Linked DNA regions of Caenorhabditis elegans. The protein of the gene in region 1 interacts with the protein of each later gene in a pairwise test. Each region holds a gene or a part of one and is shown in the gene's direction. Other genes may lie near its edges.

Evidence for each region. The genes of interacting proteins can lie anywhere in the genome.
Region 2: the proteins of C50E3.5 (region 1) and hsp-17 interact in a two-hybrid assay, tested with the Caenorhabditis elegans proteins (one large-scale study listed by BioGRID).

The regions. Positions count from the first base shown.
Region 1 is NC_003283.11:7,586,430-7,594,026, forward strand, and holds the start of C50E3.5 (SpoU_methylase domain-containing protein), read left to right. Parts: upstream 1-1,566; 5' UTR 1,567-1,568; coding exon 1,569-1,637; intron 1,638-1,684; coding exon 1,685-2,101; exon of another isoform or gene 2,102-2,130; coding exon of another isoform or gene 2,131-2,282; intron 2,283-2,327; coding exon of another isoform or gene 2,328-2,455; intron 2,456-2,498; coding exon of another isoform or gene 2,499-2,607; intron 2,608-2,776; coding exon of another isoform or gene 2,777-2,867; intron 2,868-2,955; coding exon of another isoform or gene 2,956-3,230; intron 3,231-3,490; coding exon of another isoform or gene 3,491-3,602; intron 3,603-3,649; coding exon of another isoform or gene 3,650-3,762; intron 3,763-3,811; coding exon of another isoform or gene 3,812-3,947; intron 3,948-3,994; coding exon of another isoform or gene 3,995-4,009; exon of another isoform or gene 4,010-4,125; intron 4,126-6,955; coding exon 6,956-7,067; intron 7,068-7,120; coding exon 7,121-7,293; intron 7,294-7,343; coding exon 7,344-7,432; intron 7,433-7,485; coding exon 7,486-7,597. Other genes in the region: F19F10.11 (Lin-15A/B-like domain-containing protein), read right to left, coding at 346-420, 467-592, 669-767, 816-914, 960-1,063, 1,113-1,169; C50E3.6 (Ig-like domain-containing protein), read right to left, coding at 2,131-2,282, 2,328-2,455, 2,499-2,607, 2,777-2,867, 2,956-3,230, 3,491-3,602, 3,650-3,762, 3,812-3,947 and 1 more.
Region 2 is NC_003283.11:8,384,263-8,387,634, reverse strand, and holds hsp-17 (SHSP domain-containing protein), read left to right. Parts: upstream 1-1,707; 5' UTR 1,708-1,720; coding exon 1,721-1,767; intron 1,768-2,077; coding exon 2,078-2,315; intron 2,316-2,576; coding exon 2,577-2,741; 3' UTR 2,742-2,827; downstream 2,828-3,372. Other genes in the region: gcy-7 (Guanylate cyclase), read right to left, coding at 1-183, 232-279; F52E1.14 (ZP domain-containing protein), read right to left, coding at 2,828-3,022, 3,069-3,208, 3,367-3,372.

The DNA.
Region 1 (7,597 bases):
AATGATAATATATTTTACGATTATTTCAAGTTTGCAAAAATTTGAAAAAGATCTAATTATTTTTGAATTCGTTTTTTTTTCGTTTTCTAGCTAAACTCATAGGTTTTTCTTGGTTTTTTCATCAATATTAGATTTGAAACTCGGTTTGTCAATTTTTTCCGTAAAGAAAATTTGATAACCCGAAAAAATTCGCTGAAAAAATGCATAATTTAACATCATTTTATAATTTTCTTATCGGAAATATGTGTGAAAAAAATCATAAAAAATTTATATAAATTTTTAAATTTTCTTCACAGTCGGTCATTTTTTCTAACTGTTGAGCTATTATTTTTCAAAATTTCTGACCTAAAATCTTCGACAGTTTGAGATGAATGTGGACTTTCGTGAGTGGTGCGAGAGTAGAAGGGAGCTACTTTTTTGCTGAAAAAAAAACAATTTTTTTCTTTCATCTTTGCTTTCAACAAACATTAAATTTTCTATATTTGAATTTTCAATTTGATTCCCAGGTACTGATGGTCGATATTCTGTGAGCCAAGAATTTGATGAAGGCCCTGGATCTTTTCTTGGCCACGGCGTCGCGAAGTTCAGCTTTCTGGAAAAAAGAAGAAAAATTATATTTTAAAAAGCACTTCAGAACAGTTTGAATTAAAAATTTTAGTTTTAAATACCTCCGTTGCTTCACAAAATCGCCCATAATTTTTTCAGTCTGAAAACTGGGCTTCATCGACTGCTCCTTCGGTGGACACGAAGATGGCGCAGCAGTTTTTCTGAAAAAAAAATTTTGTGTAAAAAATTTATTTATTCAATCAATGAACCTTGACATCATGAGATCGTTTTTAGAAATTGTTCGCACAACATCACTAGGACCCGGAAGTTCTTCTCTGGAGAAATTTGAAGTAGAAGCTGTAGAGTTTCTGGAAAATTAGTTTCAAGATTAAATTAAAACAAAATTGTATTACCCAGGAAGCATTGGATCATCTGGAACAAGAATCATTTCACCGGGTTTTAATTTGATTTCTTCAGGGAGCTGTTCCCTTTGATCCAAAGGCTCTTGCTTTATAGCCTGCAAAATGTGATTTTAATGAGAATTCTGAACTTGCTTATTTGTTTACCTGAAGCGCTGCTTCTGTGATTCCACCATTTTGTTCATTTTTCTTAGAAAACGGCATTTGGAAACCGTAATTTGTACAAAACTAGCACCTAAGCATTGATACTATGCTAGACACACTGTTTTTCGGGTTGAATACTTAGTTTTATGTACAGATTTACCTGAAAATTCATCTGGTTAAATTAAAAATTTAATTAAAAAGACAAGAAAAGGAAAAATTGCAAATATATTAAATATTCATCGCAAAAAAATGAAATGGGAAAAAAATAAAAACAAAAAATTGCGGTGGAGCGCATTTGCGTTTCCTTTTTCGCCTGCGTCTCTCGAAATCTGCACACGATTTGGAAACTCTCGCTTTTCATTTTGTAACATTTTTTTTCAATTTCAATTTTCAAAAGTTGCTTTTTTGTTCATAATAGCCTAATCTTCCAAAATAAAATAATAATCTAGTTTTTCAGAAATGCGAATATGGAATCGAATTCGATGCATTTCCACAATTCGAAAAAATCCTACATGTCAAGATGTAAAGGTTTGAAATCTAAATTTTTTGCCAAATTTTAAATAAATGATTTTCAGGCACCTCTCGTGAGCTCTCAAGTATTTGATCCCGATGTCTGGTCGTGGAATTCTGCTCCAGAATCGTCCCTGGATTTACCCATCGATTCTTCTCCAAATTTCTCGATGCCCCCCGCAACATCTTCCGAGACAGAATTCGCAGAAAACGAAGAATCAACTAGCTCGTCAGACGATAAAAAGAAGCGTTCCGAAGTAATCGAAGAAAATCGATCCGACGGACATGCTCCCATCAAATCAGCACTGTCAATTCTGATGCGATCACTTCAAAAATCATCGTCAATGACAACCTCACTATCGGATATTGATGTCACACTTTTCAATTTTCATTCCACAAAATTCGCCGAACGTCTTCTGAATCGCAACGTGTCAAGTGTGGTAATCGTGGAATCATCTCATGTTTTCTCGAAAAATGCAAAGGTAAGTTACCCATATTTATTTATTGTTTTTCACAAAAACAAGTAAAAAGTGGCAAAAAATAGCGAACAAAAAGTGAGATATGCTCGTTTACTGTTTCCTTCATTGTAGTAATAATGTGCACTCCGCGCACGCGCTCGTGTGTTCATCAAATTCTGGTAGTACATGTCGTCGGTTGACATATCTGAAATTTAACAATAATCTCAAGTTGTGTGTAGACCCTTCTCACCGAGTTCATAATCAATCTGAGCATCGAATAATCGTTCCAACTCTCGATGTCTGATTGGCTTGTGATGATGCCGAAGCGCTCCGTCGGTTCGAGCAAAAATCACATTTGTAGAAATTTCTTCGGATTTTCTAAAAGGAGCAGGTCTTCAAAAATTCACTATATTAAGCTTACCGTGTCATATAGACGTTGTCATCAGAGTTTCGAGAAAATGATGCCACGTTGTGATGCAAGTGATCCGACGATCTATCTCCTCGTTTTTGTAGAAGAATCGGAGATGATTCTGAATATTTAATACCGTAACTTGACAAAACCTTTTGATATTTCCGAAATTTAAACTCATTGAGATTACCTTAAATGAAGTTATTCCTATAAGTTAAAAAGATCATTTTAGAGATTTCACTTCTCAACAATACGTCTCTATTAATTTGGATTGATTATGAATAGCCCACCTTTCCCTACATTAGCGAATTCTACATTCTCTTTCTCCTCAACTCTTGGTTCTTCCTCCTTTTCCGTCATCTTCTCCGGCTTTTCCTCTATCTGAAACTCAGATCATTTCATTTATTCGCATCGCCGCTTCTCTTCCACTTATAATCTAATATCTTCTCGTAATAGTTATACTACTAACCCGAGAAAGCAACGCAATGTCCTCCTTCTTTGTCTTCGTTCTCATTTCTTGACGAGTCTCTTTCCGTACTCCGATCTCGCCTGCCTTGATACGACGACGGCTGGTTAGAGTGTGAGATTTCCCGTTTTCCTGGCGAACGGTGACGTGACACTGCCATGCTCCACTATCGGAAGACCAAAGAACTGGCGAGATTTCCATTGAAAAGTCTCCAGTTAGCTCATCATAATCAAAAAGGTATCGAGCGTTGTTGAGTAGTAGACGCATCACTGTTTTCCCTGAAATATCAAATTTTGCTCTAAGAAAACATTTCGTGCTCGGCGAGCAGCCTCCTAATTGGCAAAATCTATGGGAAGAGAGAAGTTCAAGTTTTTTCATGAAATTGACAGGATTCTATAAATCTGGCCACTGACACCTTTCACAGAATCCAACAACCGGTTATTTATGCCCTTTAGTAAAGTTCCGGCTCCTTCCTACCAGCAGCCACACTAACTAATGCATGAAGTACTGAAGTTCTCAAGTGGAATTTCTAACTAACCTGACACGCGTCTCTTGTTAAACGTCGACTCTCCATTCACAACTCGTTGATGGCCTTTCTCGATCTTCAGCCAAACAGTTTCGTTTAGAGTCCACACGACCTCAATGTGAACCTAAACTCAAAAAAAATCATACGAGTCATTTTCGGTAAGACCCTCACGTTTTTATTACTCGAATCGACAACATGTGGGCAATTCAGTGAGAACGACTCCAGACGATTCGACTCGCGCTGGTTTATGACAGATGACGAGGCGGTTAAATATGGAGAGGGTCCTTAAAAATAGAAGCAATGAGTCATTTCCAATAGAGGTGCTACAGTAACCTTTCGAATGCCGAAGTCGGTGTAAATGACGAATAGGTGTGGTTACATTGCTCTCTTCTACAGTGAATATTACATTTGACTCTACCACTTCTAGGAGGATCGTAGAATAGTACAGAAGCAGTTGGAAGATACAATTCTGAAATCAAATTCGGAATGGAAACGGTTTCGTTTTCAAGAACATACCTCATGAAACCGCATGGAGCATCGGATATCTGAGAATCTGTTGCTGTGCTCACCGAACGAATAAGCTTGTTGTGCTTCTTCTTCTCCTTTCACCAAGAGTGACCTCCCTCACTTTGAGTCGTCGCCGTCTTCTCAAAAAGTAAATACACTTTTTGTCTCTATGCCCGCCTTGCGATAAAGCAGGAAGGAAAAGGTTACTCTTCGAGAGCCCACATGAAGAAGAAAACCTACAAAAAGACCGCACTTCCTCCCTTTCAAAAAGTTCTCACTAACTCAACTTGTTGTTGTTGATGATGAGAATCTAGTGGAAAATGGATCTAGAACAAGCAATTTAAGAAAACTGGGAAAATCTACGTTACAACAAAATTTTGAACCAGGAACAGGATGCCAAAAAATAACGGCTGTACAGATTCAATTTGGGAAGTAAATGATGTTCGGAAGAGAAATAAGAAAAAGAAGAGAGAGCATAGCCTCAAGATTTGGGAAGTCGTCTATTTTCTTCCTAATTTGTGATCTGTGACTTCTCAAAAATGGAACAAGTAGTTGACTAGAAATTTTGGAAATTTAAAACACTTTAAAGTGTTAAAAAGCAGATTTACCTTTTGCTTCATTATGGGAAAGTCCCACTGGCTCTACTCAACTTTTAAAGTTCAGAAAACAATCAGAAATTTGCTTTTTGACTTTTCACGATTATTTGTTATAGGTATTTCCTACTTTCTCATGGCTCTACGTTTTAGCCAAAAATTCGAACATCTATTTGAGGTTTTCTGGTACTCGAAAACTCGAGTGTCTAGAAAGCTGTCAGTTATTTTTCTACATTTCTCGCTAATCTTCTATAGTTGGACATCTTGATTGAGTCAAAAAAAAGCATACTAGGTATATTTTATTCTGGCCATTTTTGACTTCTTCTCCTTCTTATGACTAAGTTTTGAAGGTTTCGTATACCTAGAAACAAGCTGTCGGATTAGCAGGAAAAGCGAAAAAACAACACAGAGATCATTAGAATCTGCTCTAAGAACGACCAAATAAAAAAAACAACGAAAAACCACAAAGACTCTGGAGAATAAGGAATTGCTGATGAAGTATCAAGAAACCTTTTTGTTCGTTTTATTTTGGATTTACTTTTGTCTCAGTGTTCATAGAGCAGCTCTTAAAAATCCGAATTGATTAAAGGCAGCTTGTTGCCAAGACAATGTAATTTATCACCCATAGTTTGAGTCACAAGGCTCATTTTGATCTAGAACTCTCTATGGAACTTGAAATTTCTATACTAGTTATAGAAATATAAGATTCCAATTTGAGCTCCAATACATAATGAATCAAAAATCTTGTTAGGAAATAACAAACTAATTACGGGGGTTTCCGGAATTTTATTACGAATGCCAGAGTTTTATGCTACAGTATTCTATCAGAAAACCTTTGGAAAAATTTTAGATTTTCAAAACTGGCGTTGACGAAATCTATGAATCATACACGAGACACACAATGCCCGCCGAAAAATAATCAAGATTTAGGAATTCTAGATACATTCTGGAGTGACGAAACCACTCTAACAATTTCTCATCTCACCTATCAGAGCAAACACTGCGAAACCGCCCTCCTAGCTTCATACACTTACAAAGAACACCCGTTTGTCTTCATCTCTTCTTGGGTGCTCAAGCCCCGCCCATTTTTTTTGCTTCGTTCTTACTGCTCGACAGCGGCACACTGACAACTCACAAAAAGGCGGGCGAGATGAGCGTAAAAAGTAACAGAAGAAGACGAAGGAGAAGAAACTCGTGAGAATGTGAATGAATTGTGACAAGTTTCGCTGTGGGAATACCACTACCCTCGAAAAGTCAATCAGTTTTGCGGGGCGAATCGAGCCAGGCACCCTTGCTGTGAAGATCTCGCTCTCTCATGTAGAGAACAACAGGAAAAAAGTGACTGAGCTCCCCACTCTCTGTTTTCGTGCGCGATGCCACCTTTTGTTCGAGTCGAATAAAGACAACGGGGCTCCAACAACCGCCACGATGCTAAAGTGTCATCATCAATTTTCTGGTTCATTTTTTGTGCCAACGAACAGGGGGAAATTTTGCGTGAGAGCTAACGCCTTCTCTTTCCAAAACGAATAGAGGAAGAATAAGAAGACAAACACAACAATTTGTATTCAAAAACATCGAGAATAAAAAGATGGAGGAAGAAGAATAGTCTTAAAGTTCTATTCATTCTCTGGAAATTTGGAATAGATACTTCCTTATCGAAAAAGAGCTTAAATCAATGCTCAAACTAGTCTGGAAAACCCCCAAAACGGATTATTTCAGTGAAAGCCGACGCATAAGCCCGTAGGATCAGACAATAGACTCATTATAGTTCATTGAGCCATAAAATATCGAAAACAAGAGCAAACATGTGACGGATCCAATACAATTTAATTTGCACTTCTCACGTAAATAGTCGGCACTACATTCATGTATATACATGTATATATATATATATATATATATGTATGTATATATATATATATATATAGTCAATATAGTCAATATTGTCAAATTAATCTTACGCAAATCTTCCGACACAAAGACAAATCGACGTGTCAGAAAGAGATATGACCAATTTGTCTTATTCCAACTTGGGAATACCCGTCCGGGTGGTGAGTACAAAAAATAATTTTCAAGCCCTCAAACTTAAAATATCCAACAAGATTATTTCAAGTCTGTAGGGCTTCTGACCAGTAGTTGAAAATTTGAACGCGAGTCCCAATGTGTGTTGGTCGTTGTGTAATCCATAAAAAACACGACGACGACCAATTGGATTTATTGGAATGAATTGAACGCGATCCCATTACTAACATGTGGTTGCGATTCACACATTTTTCATTTTTCAATGGTCAGTTGCACTACTACGTGCCACAGTTGTGAATATAAAATTAAATGGGAATTTCCATTGGGAAAGCAGAATATGAAATTTTTTTTTCAGAAATTCGCCAGTGAATTCTCAAATGTTAGCGCCTACCGAGCCGATATCTACACTCTAATGGGAGTTGGACGCAAGAAAACTGCACAATTTCCAAGGAAGATGATGTTTGCAGGTAAGATTTTAAAAAATATAATTGTTCTAGTCAGACTTAATTTTATTTTCCAGATTTTGGCAAGAACGAAACTCCTGAACAATATGAAAATATACATCCCTTAACTTTAACTAGTGCCGAGTCATCTTCAAATTCCGAACATCTACACGCAAAGTTCCGAAGGCCACATCTTCTAGGTGTACTACCAACACCAACTATACAACGGACGATACTTGATTCAATGATTGTAGGATAACCCAAACTTTTTAAATTCAATTAATATTTTTGGATTTTCAGCAACATGTTCTTCTCCACCACTCTGGAAATGACGAAGATACGATATTCCGGTATGGAGACACAAATCTCTTGACTTTTTTAGGCTCTGGGTGAGAGATTCTTGTGGATCAGTTCAAATTTCACTTTATTTTCAATTTTCCAGAATTCTTGCTCAATACACATGTAGTACCGACAATCGTCTCAACTTCCTCTCCCATCAACATCGACGTCACTCGGCGCTTTTCAACAAGCTTTTCGAAGTGAAAATGCTCCAA
Region 2 (3,372 bases), 800 kb from region 1:
CCAACCACTCATTAGATTCTCCCTTTTCAATCTATCAACTGCAATTGAAGCTGCTGCTGCAGATGTACGATATCCAACAGTGATAGGTGCACTTTGAAAGTCTCTACAGTGAATAAATCCCACTCGAATCACATTTCCAGTGGTACCTGTTGCAACTTGGGGAAACATAGGTTTAGGTAACAACTGAAAAAAAATCATTTTTATTTTGTGGAATTCGCTTTCAAAACCTACCGTAATCACTAAAAACAAAACTAGAGACATTGAATAGAAGGGCTTCATGATTATTTTCTTATGCTAAACTGGCAGACAGCAGATCTTTTTATATCTGCACAAGGGGCGGTGGGATTTATAGAAACTTAAGTTTACTACGCCTGCCGCCTAATCCGTGAAACCTTATTTTTATATTTTTCCGCCTCCCGAAACAGTTGATACGTGAAAAAGCACGGAAGAGAAAAAAGCTTCTTTTGGACTTGATTAATCTGTTGGTCATGAGAAAGCGTGACACAAGGTAGGTTACGGTAGCAATTGCGTAATTAATCGGATCAGTCTATGCGCATTTCTGAAACATTGGGGATTTCAAATCTAGTTTATCAAACAGATACAAATCACATTGACATCTCGTGGAAACAGTCTGTAAAGTACCGCAAATTTTACAATTTTTGATATTATTGTCGTTAAACAAGTTCCATTTCAAATTTTTTATTGAATACGGTAAAAAAACAAGAGAGGCAGCTGGTTGAAGTGAGTCACTCTTGTTGAGTTTTCGTTACTGGAAACCTGAATGAAGATAGTTTTTAACTTTAGCATTACGCCTCATTATTTTCCTATTTCCTTTTTACTATTTTACTTGTATTTTTAAACTTTGTTTAGCACATTGAGCACATAAAACCAAATGTTATAAATATCCTTATCATCAACCCATCGGTTTCTTTTTAACTTTTTTCTTTCTCGAATTTCAATGACCCGGAAAACCACCACATCATATGAAAATCGAATCTAAAAATTTGCAGATACGCATCTGTCCTGCTGCGCTCTTTTTTTATTTTTGAATGTTTTTTTTTCTGCAAACGTTGGGAACAGTCATCCAATCCTTCAACCGTTCGTCTCGTTTTGAATGACAAACGTTCTCTTTCCGTCCTCTGTTTGAGTATATTTACATTGCTAATTCAAAAAAAAATAGTATAGAATATAATGATACTTAGAGATAGTTCTGGCATAAAGTTTAAACTTGAATGAAATCATCAATGCCATTAATAACTGTGTCACTGCATTAGTTTATCAGCAAGTGTGCCAGCAAAAAAAACGTTTCGAGACGATTCGATACATTCCTGAAAAACTTCGATAAAAGGGAAGTATCCAAACAACCACACCCAACTTTCATCATTGACTCGCTGTTTTGCTTTTTATTTTTGTTAATCTTCCTTACAATTAGTTTTAAAGTTTAAAACAAATATTACATGTTAGAAAGAACTGTATTTTGGTCAGTTTGTTCGAATAATTTCGAAATCTAAAACCTTTTCTTTTTGATGATTCGTCGGAGTAGATGTTTCTCGAAGGAGGTAAAAAAAACCGTGGGCGATTCTTGTTTGCATTGAGGATAATAGAGCAGTAGTAGAAAAGCAGGGAGTGTCAACTCAGTTTTGTCTTCTTCTTCCCCTATTTCTGTCTTACTTTCGTTTTGTTTCTTTGAAATAATTAGATTTTCAGAAACTATTATAAAATGGATCGTCGTTTTCCACCATTCTCCCCATTCTTTAACCATGGCCGGTAAGTTTCTAAATTCTCGTGTTTTCGGAAACTTCTATAGTTGAAGTAACATAACTTTCTGTAAATTTTCTTCTTTAATAAGTGACGTCACTCAAATTGTACTCTGCGCCGCTAGTTCTTAAAATACACAAGAATTTAATTTGGCGCGATTTCTAAAAATAAGCTAGCGAGAGGACTTTGTACTCCAGTTTAGCAAATAATGCTCTGAAAAATCATAAAGACTGGAGATTTTGACATATTTTTCTGCAATTAGAAAATTAGAAAATTAACTTTAAAAATTTTACAAAACTCCTACAAACAAGTTTTCTAGCAGATTCTTCGATGACGTCGACTTTGATCGCCACATGATCCGACCATACTGGGCCGATCAAACAATGCTCACTGGACACCGAGTAGGAGATGCTATTGATGTTGTGAACAACGATCAAGAATACAATGTATCTGTAGATGTTTCACAGTTTGAACCAGAAGAGTTGAAAGTGAACATTGTTGATAATCAGCTAATCATCGAAGGAAAGCATAACGAGAAGACTGATAAATATGGACAGGTGAGGGTTTCCCTCCTTCTTGAAAAACTCAAGTTTTGTATGAAGCTAGTGCAACTTGAAAATGTTTTCATGCATCCTTAGATTAGCTCTCAAGATCCTGAAACCTTACTCGGAAAAGGGCAAAAAGTTATCCAAAATAAAGGCCAAGAGTTCTAGATTATCCTTCCGCCTGTTACGCAATACAAGGAAGCCAAGCAACTCATTTCCGAGCTTATAACGAAGTTGTACTAAAGTCTAAAACCTCGTTGTGCATACTTTCAGGTAGAGCGTCACTTTGTCCGGAAGTATAACCTTCCAACAGGGGTCCGTCCAGAACAAATCAAGTCCGAATTGAGCAACAATGGAGTGCTCACTGTCAAATATGAGAAGAATCAGGAACAGCAGCCAAAATCCATTCCAATCACAATTGTGCCAAAGAGAAACTGATTTCAGTTACCTAAGTGTCTGTATTTTAACTATTTCAAAAATATTTATTCAATTCCATTATTGAAGTGACAATATAAACATTTTGTTTAGACTCCAACAATCTTTTGAACCGTAATGAATAGAGCATATGGGAACATGGATGGCCTCTTCACTTTCACATAAACTGAGCAGAAGTTGAAATCATCATAATAATCATAATCGATTCGAACTCCTTGTGAGTTTAAATCAACTTGCATTGAAGCGATTGAAGTATCGTTTGGTGATCCAATCGTTGAGAAAACCTTGAATTTAATCATGAAATCTTTTCAAATAGTGACGAAATTATACCTGTTGTGCTAGAGCAAGTGGAAGACTTCCATTGATAACTGCAGATGATACAATGACGTTTTCGAGTGTTTTATCTTGACAATGAGATTGACACCATTGAACTTGGGATACATCTTTTCCGCAATTGGAAAGTGAAGCGTCTGGAAATTTCTTAAAATCGATAGGAAATCTTTTAAAATTAGTTTAGAATACTGATGCAACACATTAAACATGATAAGATTCATTCTTTCCTGTTAGCAGATTAATTTATAATTGATGAGCTTTCTCTATCAATGACGTTTTTTTTTAGATAACTCACCAAAGT